Linked DNA regions of Alligator mississippiensis. The protein of the gene in region 2 interacts with the protein of the main gene of each other region in a pairwise test. Links are inferred from orthologs where the notes say so. Each region holds a gene or a part of one and is shown on either strand. Other genes may lie near its edges.

Evidence for each region.
Region 1: the proteins of STAM2 (region 2) and ARRDC3 interact in binary tests that used the Homo sapiens proteins (3 or more experiments, as listed by UniProt). The two-hybrid records come from large-scale screens. The link is inferred for Alligator mississippiensis from reciprocal best matches to the Homo sapiens genes STAM2 and ARRDC3.

What each region holds. Positions count from the first base shown.
Region 1 is NC_081826.1:242,390,612-242,398,265, forward strand, and holds the start of ARRDC3 (arrestin domain-containing protein 3), read left to right. Parts: upstream 1-4,492; 5' UTR 4,493-4,756; coding exon 4,757-5,036; intron 5,037-7,654. UniProt on the Homo sapiens protein: Adapter protein that plays a role in regulating cell-surface expression of adrenergic receptors and probably also other G protein-coupled receptors.
Region 2 is NC_081827.1:226,524,972-226,532,377, forward strand, and holds the start of STAM2 (signal transducing adapter molecule 2), read left to right. Parts: upstream 1-4,298; 5' UTR 4,299-4,396; coding exon 4,397-4,436; intron 4,437-7,406.

The sequences.
Region 1 (7,654 bases), on a different chromosome or scaffold from region 2:
GCAGATAGGGCCCAGAGCAGAAAGTAAAACAGTAGACAGAGCACAGGGCAGGGAGCAGAAACTAGAGCAGCCGATTGGACAAAATAAGGGAACTGGAGTGGCACTCACGAAGGTATGGGGTTAATTTGTTAAGGCTGAAAAACCTCCAAAAAGGTTGGCCCCTACTCTTCTAAATCATTTTAGAAATTTCTCATTCAAGCCAGTAGGGAGGTCCCTATGTCCACTGAGAATCCACGTACATAAACTGTCTTCTAGCATAAGAGCCCTGTAGACTTTACTAGGTCATAGGCTGCTTAATAGTGAAGTGAGACAGCCATCATATTTGCTTGCAGCTCTCTTTTTAGAGTTAAGATAAAAGAGGAATAAGTGAAAGAAGTGATAATCAGTGAAAAAAACCCTTAGGAGAGAAAGCTCCAGAACACAGGGGGGAAACAAGTGATGCTAGGTAGGCCACCAAAGGGACACTTTGAGCTAGCCATGTGGTTTGGTACTGGTTAGATCTGGTTTTGCTACAGAAATGGCTTTATACTTTCAACTAAGATAGATCTATTTCCTGGACCATTACATAATCGAATAAATAGCATAATAAGCAAATTTACATATCTGATAGTTTTATCTATGATGTCTTTATTTGTTAAGCTTTTTAAAGCTGGCTAAAAATTAGGGATAAAAAGCCCAGCTTTGCCTCAGAAGCTCACTCTTCAGCCAGGAGCCCTGATCTTTGCTGAATTGCTCATTTGTGAATAAACCAAGATCAGCTCTTCTGCAAAATATAGTCTCTGGAACCTAGGTAAGAAATTATTTTCCCTGAAAGGCTGGCCACCTGTTAGAGATGTTGAAGACTACGATTCGGTGATTTTAAGATTGATTCCTTTCAGCACGTAAGCTCAGTTTCCTCCTCTGCCTAAAGTGCATCCTTCTATTTCCCTAAAAGTAGAGAAGGGAAGAGGGAGACCCAGGTTCAGTACCCCTTTTGATGGAAGAAATTCAAATCCACACCTCTGACATCCCTGGAGTATGACATAATCTCCAGGCTGTGGAATATTCTGCATGAAAAGCACTCTCAAACCCTCCACTTGAAGCTGGTGCACAGTACAGAAAAAGAATGCAAGATTCACTGAGTCAGAAAGAGACTAATTCATGTGCATATGAATGAGGGATTATTGCTTAGTTTAGTGATTAGAGAAGGGGGAAATCATGTGTTCCATCCCTGCTCCTGATACTGGTTTTATATTTTACATTATCTAGTCATTACACAAAATATAGATCAAGAATCACATAGCATTTCCTACTTCCCCAGAACTTTCTCAACTCAAGTGAGTAAAATAGATTGAAACTCAAGAGGAGATTCTATTAAACACAATTAACACAGTTTAAATCCTAATTTTCATAGCCAGAAAGAATTGAAAATACCTTATATTTAAAAATGCTCATCTGTGTTACACAATTCCACGAGGCTAGTGTGAGATAATGCACTACAATGATAGTGCAGATCTTAAGAGGTAGTATGTTGACTTCAAAACAAAATCCCAGTATTTTTCAATGGGCATGTCATCCCACATTTGTAATCTTACATTGAAAAGACACTGGATAAACTTTTCAAAAGTATTTAGCTGGTTTAGGATACTAAGGCTCATTGAAATAAATGGGACTTAGACTGCTAAGTCACTTTTAGGTGCTTTAGAATATTTTGCCCTGTGTCAAACAGCTTAAATTAGGATCTTCTATTTTTGTAAGGGATGGGGGACAAGGAAGTTATTTAGTATGAACAGTAATGATTTAACATCTAATAACCAGGTGTTAAAAAATTAAAAGCAAAGATATATGTGATGAAGGTCAGGAAAGGAAGGTGGTTGTCCAGAGGTCTCACATTGAAAACACTCAGAAGAGAATTTTAACCAGTTCTAGGTGCTATTTGATGAAAGATTTGTAAAGCTGTGTCTGGAAAGGGCAAGAGAGTATGATTAATAGACGGCAGGTTTAAAAAACAGGTGAGAGAGCAAAAGGCTGGCAGGAGAGACAGTTCTTCACATTAACCACAAGATGGCATAGAACATTTGAATGATCAGTTCAGAAAAGAAATAGCATATTACAAAGACAAGAAACAATTATAATTTATGCCAACAAAAACTATGAATGACTTATTAAAAAACCCATAAAAATAATAATAAAAAGTGTACATACATCTACACACCCACAAAACGTCCCAAGCAAAGCTCCTAGTCTGAACTTTATTTCCTATACATAATAAAATGAATCAAAGACCAAAATGACAGCATGCAGTCATCTGCTTAACACTAAAAATGTAAATGATATGTTGCATCTATAAAATGCAACATATCTGTATGATAAGTGAGAGACTGGCTGGATGGAAGCAAGCGTGGGTATGAGCAGGCAGGAGGTGGGAACGGCAGAGTGGAAAGTTTGGGTGGGATATTCTGCAGGAGAGGTGCAGACATGACTGGGCAAATGGTAGGACCACCTAGAACAGTGGTCCTCAGCTTCCAACCTATGATCCAAGTCCAGCCCACAGGGCCATGTCATCCAGCCTACTGGGCTCCCCACAGGTCTGGAAATTCGGGGCGAGGCAGCAGTAGTGTTAATTGCTGCTTCCAGAACACCAGCAGAAAAAGGACAATACAGGCTAAACTATATTAAGTTTTATGTCAGATCTCTCTAGAATGAAGCATCCAGGTGGGATAATATTTGCCTGGCCCAGCTGGTCTTCAACAACTGTCCTAACATACATGCCAGACCCACAAATGAGACTCTTTAGATCAAAATACCCTGTAAACAGTGTCACTCTTCCTTCTCCTTCTTTCCACATGGGAGAGGCGAGATATGCCCACTGAAGGCATTTGCTGCCTATGTAGGTGGTAGGTGGGGTGAGAGCAAACACACTAAACATCAAAAAAGGGTTGATAGTTTCTCTTTTGCAGAGTAAGTTCCTCATATTTACCACAGGGTGGTGCAAAAACATAAAAAAGTATCAACAGATCAGAAGGCAAGAACAGAAGATGGCCCAGGCAAAAATGTATGAGAGCTTCCACCAGGTGTCGACTCAGGCAAAACATGAATGACCTGAGAAGAGTCATAAAGCTACCAAGTGAGTCTGCTTTTCTAAACTTTGCTTTAGAAACATACCTCTCTAAGTAGAGCTAATATACCTGTCAACCCATATTAGCCTTTCTAACATGAACTGTTTAAATTATATAACTATTGCAATAATTATTTTACTGAACGTGGAATTTAATAAACATGGAAAGAGAAACGTAGCCATAAATTGTTTAATCTGGAGAGCATGGTCAAGCAATGACCGTGTACCAATGAACATGTAGATGAACTGTGTAACAGATGCATTTGAAATATCACTGTAAAGAACATCTCTTTGGTGGTGAAGGTGTTTTGCACAGAGCTTTTAGAAAGACTATGTGCCTAATATGCTCCAGTGTCTGGTTGTTTTTTTTTTCTCTTAGAATCCATTTAGCACATCTCTTTTGAATTTATGCGGGCTATTTTGAAAGGATTTGCTTGATTCCAAATAGCAGTACTTAAAGGTATTCTTCTATCTCCCTCTAAATTGCACTAAATCTTATGGAATCAGAAAAAAAGGAGAAAACTATCTGTGAAATATATACATTCATTCCGAGCTGTTTTGGGGAGGTTTTACTTGCTTGCCTGTTTTAACACAGGTAACCCAGAAAACAAAAATGCTAACTATCTGAATAAAAATGGTAGGTGGGGTCTGTAATTGAGCTAATGAAATATAAATGGGAAGCCAGGTGCTCCTCTCCTTTTAGAAACTCTTTCTCCTGGTGAATTCAGAGGTTGGTAGGAACAGCTGACACAAATCTTCAGCAGACATAACTGAAATATGTGGATTCTCCCAGTCTCCAAAACCGGTTTGAACCGAACAAAAGAGGGTTTTCTCTGCCTTTGGTGAAGTTCATCCCACCCTCTGGCTGGGGATAAACTAGTCCTGCCAAGATCGACTTCTATTTCTGGCTCATTAAGATACTTCTGAAGAGCAAATATTTTGCCTTTTGGAATGCACCAGATTGTGCTTGAAGCAGATGAACCATCCAAAATCTCTTCTCCCGAATAAAAGGCAGATTCCTCAGTTCATTTCTCTCCCAACTCTTCAAGCCTCTTCCAGCAGCATTCAGAAGCAAATGCTTCGGGCTCGAGGCTGTGTCCTTAGTCAGCTGTAAGGGCTCTGGCATTAGACCACTCTCCTTCCTCCTTCCGCTGCATTTATAATGCTGCATTCCTGCCATTAGAAGCTTTGGGGTGCTGGCCTAGAGGGGCACGTTTGAAAGAGTTTAGGGGGGCGATCACTGCAAGAGACACACAATGGAGAGCAGACCCAGGTCCTCTTCCACAGCACGGTCGCCTTCTGTGTTACACCTCCTGTAGCAGTGAGACAGAAGGGAAGCAGCAGCCGCCCGCACATGCGCAGTGGGGTTGTTTTTCACAAAGCTGGTCTTAAAGTGAGCTGGCAGTCCGCAGCCTCCCTGTCTTTGTACAGAGACCTCAGAGCTGGGTAGTAGCTGAACAGCCACTAGTGCTGTGACTTTTCCAGCAAGCCCAATGAAGCGTTTGTAGAGCAGACACTGGTCCTGCCTGCAAGCTTTTTTGCACGGCAGAGGCTTTGAACAGTGTCAAGTGAAGATCCCATTTTATATGAGATCTTGACTTTGATTTTGGGGGTTTTTTTCTTACAGTATATTTTTATAGACTTTGTTATAAAAAAAAAATGGTGCTGGGGAAGGTGAAGAGTTTGACAATAAGCTTTGACTGTCTCAATGACAGCAACGTCCCCGTCTATTCTAGCGGGGACACAGTCTCAGGAAGGGTCAGTTTAGAAGTTACTGGGGAAATTCGAGTGAAATCTCTTAAAATTCACGCAAGAGGACATGCAAAAGTGCGCTGGACTGAATCTAGAAATGCTGGATCCAACACTGCCTATACACAGAATTACACTGAAGAAGTAGAATATTTCAACCATAAGGACATCTTAATTGGGCACGAGAGAGGTAAGTTGTTTTTTTTTTTTCATTTTAATTCGGGAGTCAAAATCCTACACAGTCATTTTTGATGCAAGCAGGCATGCACATCTTCGCATCCTCTTGGCTTGAACAGTCTTTGGAGGGGGGCTGGTTATTATATCCATTAAAAACCACAACATACAAGGATGTGAAAATGTACTACATCTCTTAGGGGCTGTAGGTTTTGATGATATGGACATTGATGGTGGGTCAGACTTTATCTGCAAAGTGCCTGCAAAACAGGACTTTCTCCAACAACCTGCCTTTAACAGAGCTTCTTGCAGAGGCACTTCCAATTTTATGATTATTTTAAGTGTGTCAGAAAAAAACTGTGCTATAGCTAGACATGAGCAGGGTTGTGTTCCGTATTGCACTGAGAACTGGGGGGCCAAGCCAGGTAGTTAATGCTTTTAAGTGACTTTTTTGTAACTTCTCATCAAATGTTGAGATGCAAGACAGAATCAGGCTTTTAGACGTCTATGGATATAACTCCTATTTTTCAAATCGATTATGCGAGGCCTTTCGAAGGATGGATAATTGTTGGCAGATAAAGGATTCCCTGTGGCTTATTTTGACATACACTCTCAGCACTCCACGTGTGGCTTCTTCTTCTCCCACCTCCCCCAGTAAGTTAATAAATCACCTGAATGTCTTTTATACGCCACATCTGTCAGAGAGGCAGGTATAAAGGTCTGCCTGCAAGCCTCCTTTGAGTCCCTGAAGTGCCCAACTGGAGCATCATGCCTAAGTTGGGGAGTTCAGGGAAGCTGCATTCATTGAAACCTGCTGTGCCAGCCACGTACAGTGCAAAATAGATTCCTATCAAATAATGGGGGGGAAAAAAGGGGGAATCAAGCCTTGGCAAGGGGGCAGCGGGTCTTCAGATGGCTAATCTATTGTTTGAATGGTGACATGGTAGAAGTATAGGGGACTCTTGGCTTGTTTTTCTGAAGTTTCCACCCTTTGTTAGAAGCGGTTCAATCCTGTTTGGGACCAGTCCTGGCGAGAGGGAGGGGGTGCGAGCTCTCCTCTCCGCAGATTGGTTACACGCGTCAGGTGGTGGCGATGACTTAATTCCTAGCACAAGAAAATAATGTTAAAACTGGTTATGTAATTTTCTTTTTTCTTCCCCCCCCCCCTTGTTCCCTTTCACTTATTCTGCATATATATAAATAAGTGCTGCAGAGACCAGTGCGGGAGCTGAGGGGGGGGGTCCCCTTTCCCCCCTTACAAAACCATCTCATTCAAGGGGAACTTAGGGGGTTGCGCTGGCAAAGGCTTTTGGAATAAATGGAAGGATTTTTTTTTTTTATTTTTTTTTTTAATGTTCACAAAATGAGCGGGTTGCGAGGCCTGAGGTAAAATGATGGGGTCCCTCCCCAGGCAGAGTTCGTGCCCTCTCCCCACCCCCTCTGCGGATGCCGGGCGGCAAGGGGCCTGTGTCCCTCCCTCCACAGCCCAGGGGATGACTGCAGGAGGCGACTCGGGGCGCCCCCCGGGACAGGGAGCGAACAAAGGGGCCGGTTGGTGGGTGGGTGGGTGCGCGGGTCGGCGGTGGCGGCCGCACCCCACACAGCCGCTGCGGCCACCGGGCAGCCCGGGTGCCCACTACTCTGCCCCACGCCGGTCACACCAGCTCAGTACCCCAGCCCCGCCCCGCGCCGCCGCCATTGGCCCGGCGCCGTTTGTTAGCCTGTTGCTAAGGCGATGCCCGCCGCTGATTGGCGCGGGGCGCAGTGGGGGCGGGGCAGGTCCCGGTTCCTGGAGTCCAGCGTGCGCCGCTGCGGGTTTGGGGGGGGGTTGGGGATCGAGAACCCCTTTCCCCCGGCAGCGGGGGCCCGATCCTCCTCGCCTTGCCCTACGGCCGGGGGCAGGATCGGGCCCGTGTGCTGTGGGGCTGGGGGGGCTGCAGCCCGGAAGCCCCGAGAGAAGCCGTGGGGAGGTGGCGGGTGCCGCCCCTCCCGCCCGCCAGGGTAGGCTGCGCGCCTGCGCTCGCGTGTGCTGTGCCGTGCCGTGCGCCTGCGAGCGCCGGGCGCGCCGGCTGGTTGGGGCTCTGCTCGCGCCGGTTTAGGCCGGTCCTCTCCTGCTCCAGTCTGGTCTGTGATTGACAGCTCAGCACTTGTTTACCACAGCGCCGCCGACGCCCCGGCTCCCGGGGACTGCTGAGCTGGCAGAAAGCGGCCGGGCGGCCGGGGGGGGAGGCATGGAGTTTAGGGCGAGGAGAAGAGGAGGGTCCCCGGCCTGCCGTGGGGTCCAGTCACCTGCCCAGCCCCATCTCCTCCGCCATTCCTGGCCCCTGACGGGGGTTCGCAGCCTTGCCCCTTCTCGGAGGGTGGGGGGGAAGCAAACCCTGCACCAACCCCCACCGAAATATTACCCTCCCCCTTTTTCTTGTTTGGTCTCCCCTTCGGTGCTTCAGGCGGTGGGGAAGTGCCCGATTTTTTTCCCTGCCTCCAGTTATTTTGCCACTTCCAGCATCTCCACTTGACCCGACTTGGGTCCTCCCCAGCGCCAGGGTCGCAAGCCACCCGGGTCGTTTCAGCCTCTCCGTGCCCAGGCAGGGTTGGGAGGGAACAAAGAAGGGCAACTTGTTTGTGGGCACCGGG
Region 2 (7,406 bases):
AGATCACCCATGACAACTACATCCCTTGCCTTAAGTGCCTCTGCAAGCTGGCCCAAAAATTCCCGGTCCAGCTCCACCCCTTGGTTGGGGGGTCTGTAGTAGACCCCCACCGTTAAATCCCTCTCCCCAAGACACCCTTGTATATTGATGATTATGATTAAATTATGTAACACTGTACACCTTCGGCAGTGTATTTCTTGATGATTATGATTAAATTCTGTAACACTGTACACCTTCGGCAGTGTATTTCTTTTTAAATTATGTTTAAAAAACATAGAGGGAAGCTCTGGGCCTCCTGCAGCTCAGGGGCTGCACAACCCGATGGCAGCTTGCGCGGGTAGGCTCTGCTAAGACAAAAGAAAAAAGCAGCAGTAATGAGCCTGATCTTTTTTTTTTTGCTCCCAGAGACTGCCTGCAGTCTTCTGTGGCCAGGGAGTGAGCTGCTGGTGGGCTGTGCAGCCCGAGTTGTGGGGGGACCCTGGTGCTTCTTTCCGTGGTGGCAGCACCCCCCGGGACAACCCAAGTGGGGTGCTAGTACATGGGTGCTGCCTGGGGGGCCCTGCCACCACAGAGGGAAGCACCAGGGCCCACTGCAGCTCAAGGCTCACTGGCCATAGTAGAGGCAAGAAGGCTCCAGAAAAGAAAAAAAAAAGATTGGGCTCCTCACTGCTTTTTTTTTTTTCCTCTAGCGGAGCCTGCCCTCTCTGTGGCAAGGGTGTGTGTGTGTTATGGAGCTGACGGGGCTGTCACTGCTGTCATGGTGACGGAAGTCCCTAAATTGAAACAGTGGGTTTTAATCAACACAAAACCCCACCAATTCAAAACCGGCCATTTCAATTTAGGAAGAACTAAACTCCCAGCACGTGAACAAATGGCCACAGAGATTAAGTGGAAGGAAGGGGTGGGGGTGAACCAACCATGGAACAAGGAAATCAAGAGGAAGGGACCTCAACTAGGATGCACTAGCAGACACACAAAAGGTAAGAGAGAAAAAGATGGCAGGAGGAAGGTGAAGGAAGGGAAAATGGGCAGGTATCCCTGGATCCCCTTCCCAGTCTAGTAATGATGTAGGGGCTCTGTTCTACACAGCAGGTACAATCATCTTTCCATTGCATCCATTAATCTCTCAAAAACCTTTTCATGATATTTTCTTCTAACTCTAAGAAATATATACAATTGTATCTTGTTCATTGCACAGTTCATAGATGGAAAACAAGGAAATAAATGTGTTTATTAGATCTTTAATAAGGAAGTGACCTACTGTGAAGAGAGAGATTGAATTATACAAGGTGCTACATGTATTGTATTAAATCAGTAACCAAAGTGTTAATTGTTTAAATATATTCAACTTTTATTTTGCCTTCCAATCATGGATCACCAATTCTTATACATTAATAAGGCACATAAGCTAGACTACAGTCCACCTGAGATGCTATATTCTTATTTGTTAGAAGAGCTTCATTACAGAAAAAAATATTCACAAACTTATCTTGTTATGACTTGTATAAAGTATGTTTAATTAGAAAAGCTCTCAGAATTGCTGGCTCTCAGTGCTATATTGACTCTCTTACTTCCTGTGACCCCTTGTTTGTGAAAGCTAATTATTTTTTTAAAGAAACACCAGTTTGCACACTGTCATTGTCTGGTACACAAAAGTCTTTTTTCACTAATGAGGGTTAAGTGGCTTAATAAATTTCTTACAGTCAACAGAAAAACTTGTAAAAAAAAATCCTCCTGTCCAGAGAGATTTAGAGAAAATTCTTTTAATAAGTCTGCAATATGGATTCAATTACTATTGTACAGAAAACTCACTACAAACTACAGTGCTAGATACAAGAAAAAATCATAACTAATAGAAATATGTATTTCATTCAACATTGAAGCTTTCCAAGTATACCATTTTAATGTGTTAAAGATACTGTTACAGGGTGGTGTCTTTTGGGTGTTTTAACTGAATAACATAAGTCATGAAATATAACATCATTGTAATAAATCAAGTTATATAAAGGCATCATATTATGCATAAAATACTGATTGCAAAATCATCCCACTGTTTCATGTGTCATTTGCTCTTCATAAAAGAGCATAAACCATTCCTATGAAGTTGTTAAAATGTGGGTCAGTTCAGTTCAAGCCTTAAAAAGCTGTCATAAATCCCACACCTGTCTGACTTTTTCCATCATTGTTACAAAGGACACCTGTTACAAGAACTGAGAGAAGAAAACTAAATGTTTATCTGGTGTGTTTATGGCCCTATCTAGTTATACTCAAGGTGTAATTAACCAAGTAATCAAGCAAGTTGTGAGCTGGCTACATGTTCCACCAATTAATGGCATGATAAAACAGGCAATAAGCTACAAAGTTATTCCACAAAAAATATGGAGTAATATAGATTGTTCTTATGGTGCCATTGTTTAAGGAGAGGGGCAGGTGTTCACAGCACTTCTTATGGAGCAACTGTCACTGTTTATCCTATTTAATCACCTGTTCTGTTTGCCGGCATCTACTGTAGACATGGCAGAAAGAAAATATCCTAAAACGTAGTGGAATGAAAATTGGCAGAGGAACTGAGGGGGAGCGGGAGTAGTTCCTAAAATCTATCAGGTCATCTTTAAGCATAATTAGATGTAGCTTCAAGTGCCTGGTGTCCCTCTGGTGTTATGAAAATACCTTAGGACAATTATGAAATCCATCTAAAATGAAGCACACTGAAACGATCCCTCATACTGCTGGTTATGGGACAAGCTGAAAACACTTGAAGAAGCCGATCTTGATCTCACAGTCTAGTACAAAGATGCGGGGAACAGAAATGGTCACACGTAGATACTCTCCTGGGGTTGGGGCAGTGTTTCCAGGCTGTCCAGGGCCCTGCTTGGCACCAGGCTTCTGAGCTTAAGTCCCCCACACAAAGGGCTGAGCTGCTTCCCGCGCAGGCAGGGGTCTGGGGAGGGAGATGAGCACGTCGGTGCCCACTGCCCAGATGCCACCGCTGTTCTGGCAATCAGGACTTGTGGTAGAGATGCTCTCTTTTATTAGACCAACAAGATTTTTGCAAAATCTTGTTGGTCTAATAAAATGCCCGCTGTTCTGGGCATTTGAGGGAGCCCGTGAGTGCCTGGCGCCTCCTGAATCTGGGGGTGCACCCGCAGATTTTGCAAAAATCTTGTTGGTTTAAGAAGAGAGATCATCTCTACTATAAGTCCTGAGTGCCTTTTCTTCTAGACCAATACGGCTACAACCTGGATACCCGGCACACAAAAGATATCAAATTTTAGCTGATTTCTGAAATGAAATCTTCGTACTTTCCCAAGTAGGAAGCAACTGTGACCGCCTGAAACTGCAGATCCTGCTCTTGCCTTTGTTTCAAGGTAATCTGCATCAGCACAGACCCCGACAGGAGGTGAGGCTCCTTACCAGCTATGAACCGACTGCCCAGACGAGTTTTGCATCTATCGACTCCTCTGTGAAATCCTATGAAATATGAATTTTCAATTCTACCCAGGGGAACTTTATTTTTTCTCCACTGCCTGATGAAGGGTGTCTGGGCCCAAAAGCTGGCCATTAACGAATTTATTTTATTTTTTTTCAAAAATCTTGTTGGTTTCATTAATCAAAGATATCACCTCTGTCCACGAGCCCCGATCGCCTTTTCCTCTACACCAACATGGCTACAACCTGGATGCCCGACCGCTGTTCTGGGCACTTGAGGGAGCCCGTGAGTGCCTGGCGCCTCCTGAATCTGGGGGTGCACCCGCAGAAACCGCCGACGGCAACGGCCCGGGGGGGAGGGGGGGGCACGTGCACCCCCTACCAGTCGCCTATGGAGAAGCCTCTCCCGCCACTCAGACGAGCCCCCATCGCGACCGGCCCGCGGCTGGCTCCACCCCGCCCCGCCCCGCCCCGCCCACCAAACACGTCAGAGGCCGCAGAGACGCAGCGAGGCCCCGTGGGGCTTGGCTGCCCCCTGCGGGCCGCGCTGAGAACATCCCGCTGTCTACGGCCCCTGGCCAGACCCCGCCGCCTACAGCCTTGCCTTCGCTCCAGCCCCGCCCCCGAGTGCGCGGGGTGGGCGTGGTCGCGTGCAAGCGGCGCTGGTCTCTCCTCCTCCGCTCTGAGGCCCCCGGGGTCTAAGCCGGTGCCTGACTCTATTGCCCCGCTCCGAGAAGCCGCCCGGCAGGTGCAGGGCCCCGGGTGGGGGCTCCTCCGGCCGCAGGGGGAAGGTGGTTCTTTTCCGCGGGTCCCCGTGTTTTGGGTCAGGCGCGGCGCGGACGCGAGCGGCGGGGCCTGCGCGGCGGCGGCCGGAGCCGGAAGCGGAAGCGGGCGCGGGGAGGGGCCCGGCCGCGGGGAGCGAGCCGCAGCCGCCTCGGGCTCCGCCATCGTCGTCGCTGTCGTCGTCATGCCGCTGTTCACCCCCAACCCCTTCGAGCAGGATGTGGGTGAGTGCGCGGGGCCGGGGCCTGTCTCCGTGGGCCGGGCCTGAGGGGGGCTGCCAGGGCGGGGAGTGGAGGAGCGGCTCCCTCCTGCCCTGTCACGGCAGCGGCTCCCAGGCCGGGGCGCTCCTTCCCTGCGGCCGCCCTCCTCCAGGCGGGGGCTTGTCGGGATGCCGCGGGAGGCGAGCGCTGCCTCGGATAAACACGGCTCTGAAGTCGGGGCCACGCACGTCCCTGAAGTGGCGGAGGGCGGCGGGTGCTTGGAGGCCAGGGAGGGTTGAGACCCGCTGCTGCCTCCTCTCCCCGTTCCCTCTTGCGCAATACCGGGCGGACTGTAGGTCATCTGTCCTGTCTTGCGGGCGTTTATCCTCTCATCTGTTTTTGTAGTTCAGGTTCCTGCTGTTTGGGAAGACACACAGGTTTTTAATGAGAGGTGTTGCTATCGTCGGGTGTTCTAATGATTGTAACATCTGTTTCCATAGAGCTGCACAGCAGTTAAACGCCGACCTGCAACCGTGTCTGCTGCAAGCAGGTTTTCACACCAATTGCCTTGTTTCTCTCTGTAGCATGTAGTGGGCTGAATTGCCTAAATTGGGGGTGTCAGATAGAGGGGCACTGATATATCGGTCCATATCAGATCGGCATTGATAAAAGGAAAATTGATATTATCAGCAACCGCCTTTTTAGTCGGTGTAGTTGGTGGCATCGCCGATAAATGCCACGTGAGCAGCCAGGAATGCAGCCTGGCAGCTTGGAGACCAGCGCCCAGTGGGTAAGTGTAGGGGGATAGGGTGAGGGGGCAAAACAAGCAGCATCTGGGGGGAAGGGGTGTGGGGGAGAGAACGGGGGTGGGGGGGGAAAGCGAGGCCCCCATGATGAGGGAGGGAGTGGGCAGGCGCAGGGCGTGGGACAGAGCCAAGGGGGGCATGGGGTGGGGGGGGGCAGTTCCCAGCCACTTTGCTCACCCACGGGGGAGGCATGGGAGGGGCATGTACTCTCCGGATTTGTGTGTGGGGTGAGGGCGGGCTGCCTGCTGTGGGCTCGGGGCTGGGAGCTACTGGGAAGAGGCCAGTGCAGCCTCGGGCCCTGAGCACACAGTGGGCAGCCTGCCCTCGCCCCATGCACAGATCTGAAGGGCACGAGCTCCCCATGCCTCCCCCAGGGATGTGCACAGTGGTGGGGAGCTGCCCACCCCTTCTGTGGCCTCTCCCCACCCTCCCACCCCCCCAGATTTGCTGCCCACAGCTCTGTCCTATGCCCCACTCCACCCTAGCTGGTCAGTGCCTGCCCCTGCCCCAGCCCAATTCTTTCCCACATCATGGGGGCCTTGATCTCCCTCCCCCATGCTCTCTTCCTCCCACAGACTTACTGGCTGGACACTGGTCTCCAAGCTGCTGGGGTACGTATTGGCATTCAGAGCAGTATCGGCCAACGTGGCTGGTTAAGAATTGGCTGTTGGTATTGGGCAAAAAAATCTTTATTGGTGCATCCCTAGTGTCAAATGTATAACCTGTGGGCTGGATCTGGCATGAGATCAGCTGTATCTGGGCAGGCCTGCAGGGAGATCCATGCTCTGAATCCAGCTCGGGCCCCAGGTAAGTTTGGCAGTCCTGGCTTAAATTTCTTGCAGAGTCAAAAGAGTCACTCCTAGCTGGTCACAGTTTTGAAGTCTGATCATTTTGATACTGTAAGAGGAAAGTTTTGGGAGTTTAGACCCACATGGACTATATTTAAACCCTGAATACTACAGAAGTTATTGGTATTCAGGTTGTAGCTGTATTGGTCTGGAGGAAAAGGCAGTCGGGACTGGTAGTAGAGGTGATATCTTTTATTAAACCAACAAGATTTTTGCGAAAGAAGTCTTTAATTGCAAGCTTTCAGGCACAAACACTCTTGATCAGGCATTGGAGAAAAGATTGTAAAAGTTCTCCTGGGTAGAAATGAAAGCTCATATTTCATAGGATTTCACAGAGGAGTCAATAGATGGAAAACTCTGGGCAGTCAGTTCACAGGAGTTATTGTACCTTAGAAGTGAAATGTCATTTATTATAGGAAACTAAGCTTTGAGGCTTTTTTCTTTTTAAATTACTACTGCGTATGTTTCTGTCTGAACATCATTTCACTGGCTTATGCATTAGTTCCTGAGCTTGGCGTAGTCTGTGTTTAAAACCTTTCTAGTTGATACGCTACCTTTTTTTAGATGACATGACTCGTAACAAGTGTTATGCTCTTATGCATCTTACTTGCTTAGTCAAACTTTTGGGAGTTGCTTATTTTATAGTCAGCAGATTAAGAAAAAGTTCCATGGCTAGAGTCTAAAATACTTGATATCTTAAGGACTTAAAGCTTTGGTAGCTTTTTTTGTTTGTTTTTTTTGTGGGGTTTTTTTTTTTTTAAACAAGACGTACAGCTAGCTAGCAATCTGATCTGAAAGATACAGGATTTGCTTGGTTTACAAATCTAAATGGATTTAAGTCAGTGTACTTTGTATTTCCTCTCTGGAGGCCTAGGGTGACATCTTGACCAAAATGAAGACAGTAGGACCAGGGTTTCACTCCTTGTAAAACATCAGCTGGAAATTAATTTTATGGCATCAGATTAATCCTTGGCTGACATCTGTCTATTACAAAAATTACCAGGCAGTCTTGACAATGAGGATGGTGTTGACTCTGGGCCTCTGTGTGCTATATTTGCCTGTATAGCCTACGGATCATGCCTTCACTATCCTGAATACTGACCTTGTAGTTTTAAATACCTGTTTTAAATTAATCAGCACTGTACATTTAATTGGAAAATGTTTAACATAAAAACAATTTTTAAGTTGGCAATTTTAACAGAAAGCAGAGTTAAGCATTCTTGGGATTTTTGTCAATCCTAAAATATTATGGGCTGTTCTAACAAAAACATTTGCTTGTGCTTTTACTTAAACTAGCACAGATGTGCAGTGCTTAGATGTTCTTGTGTTTCCTTAACATA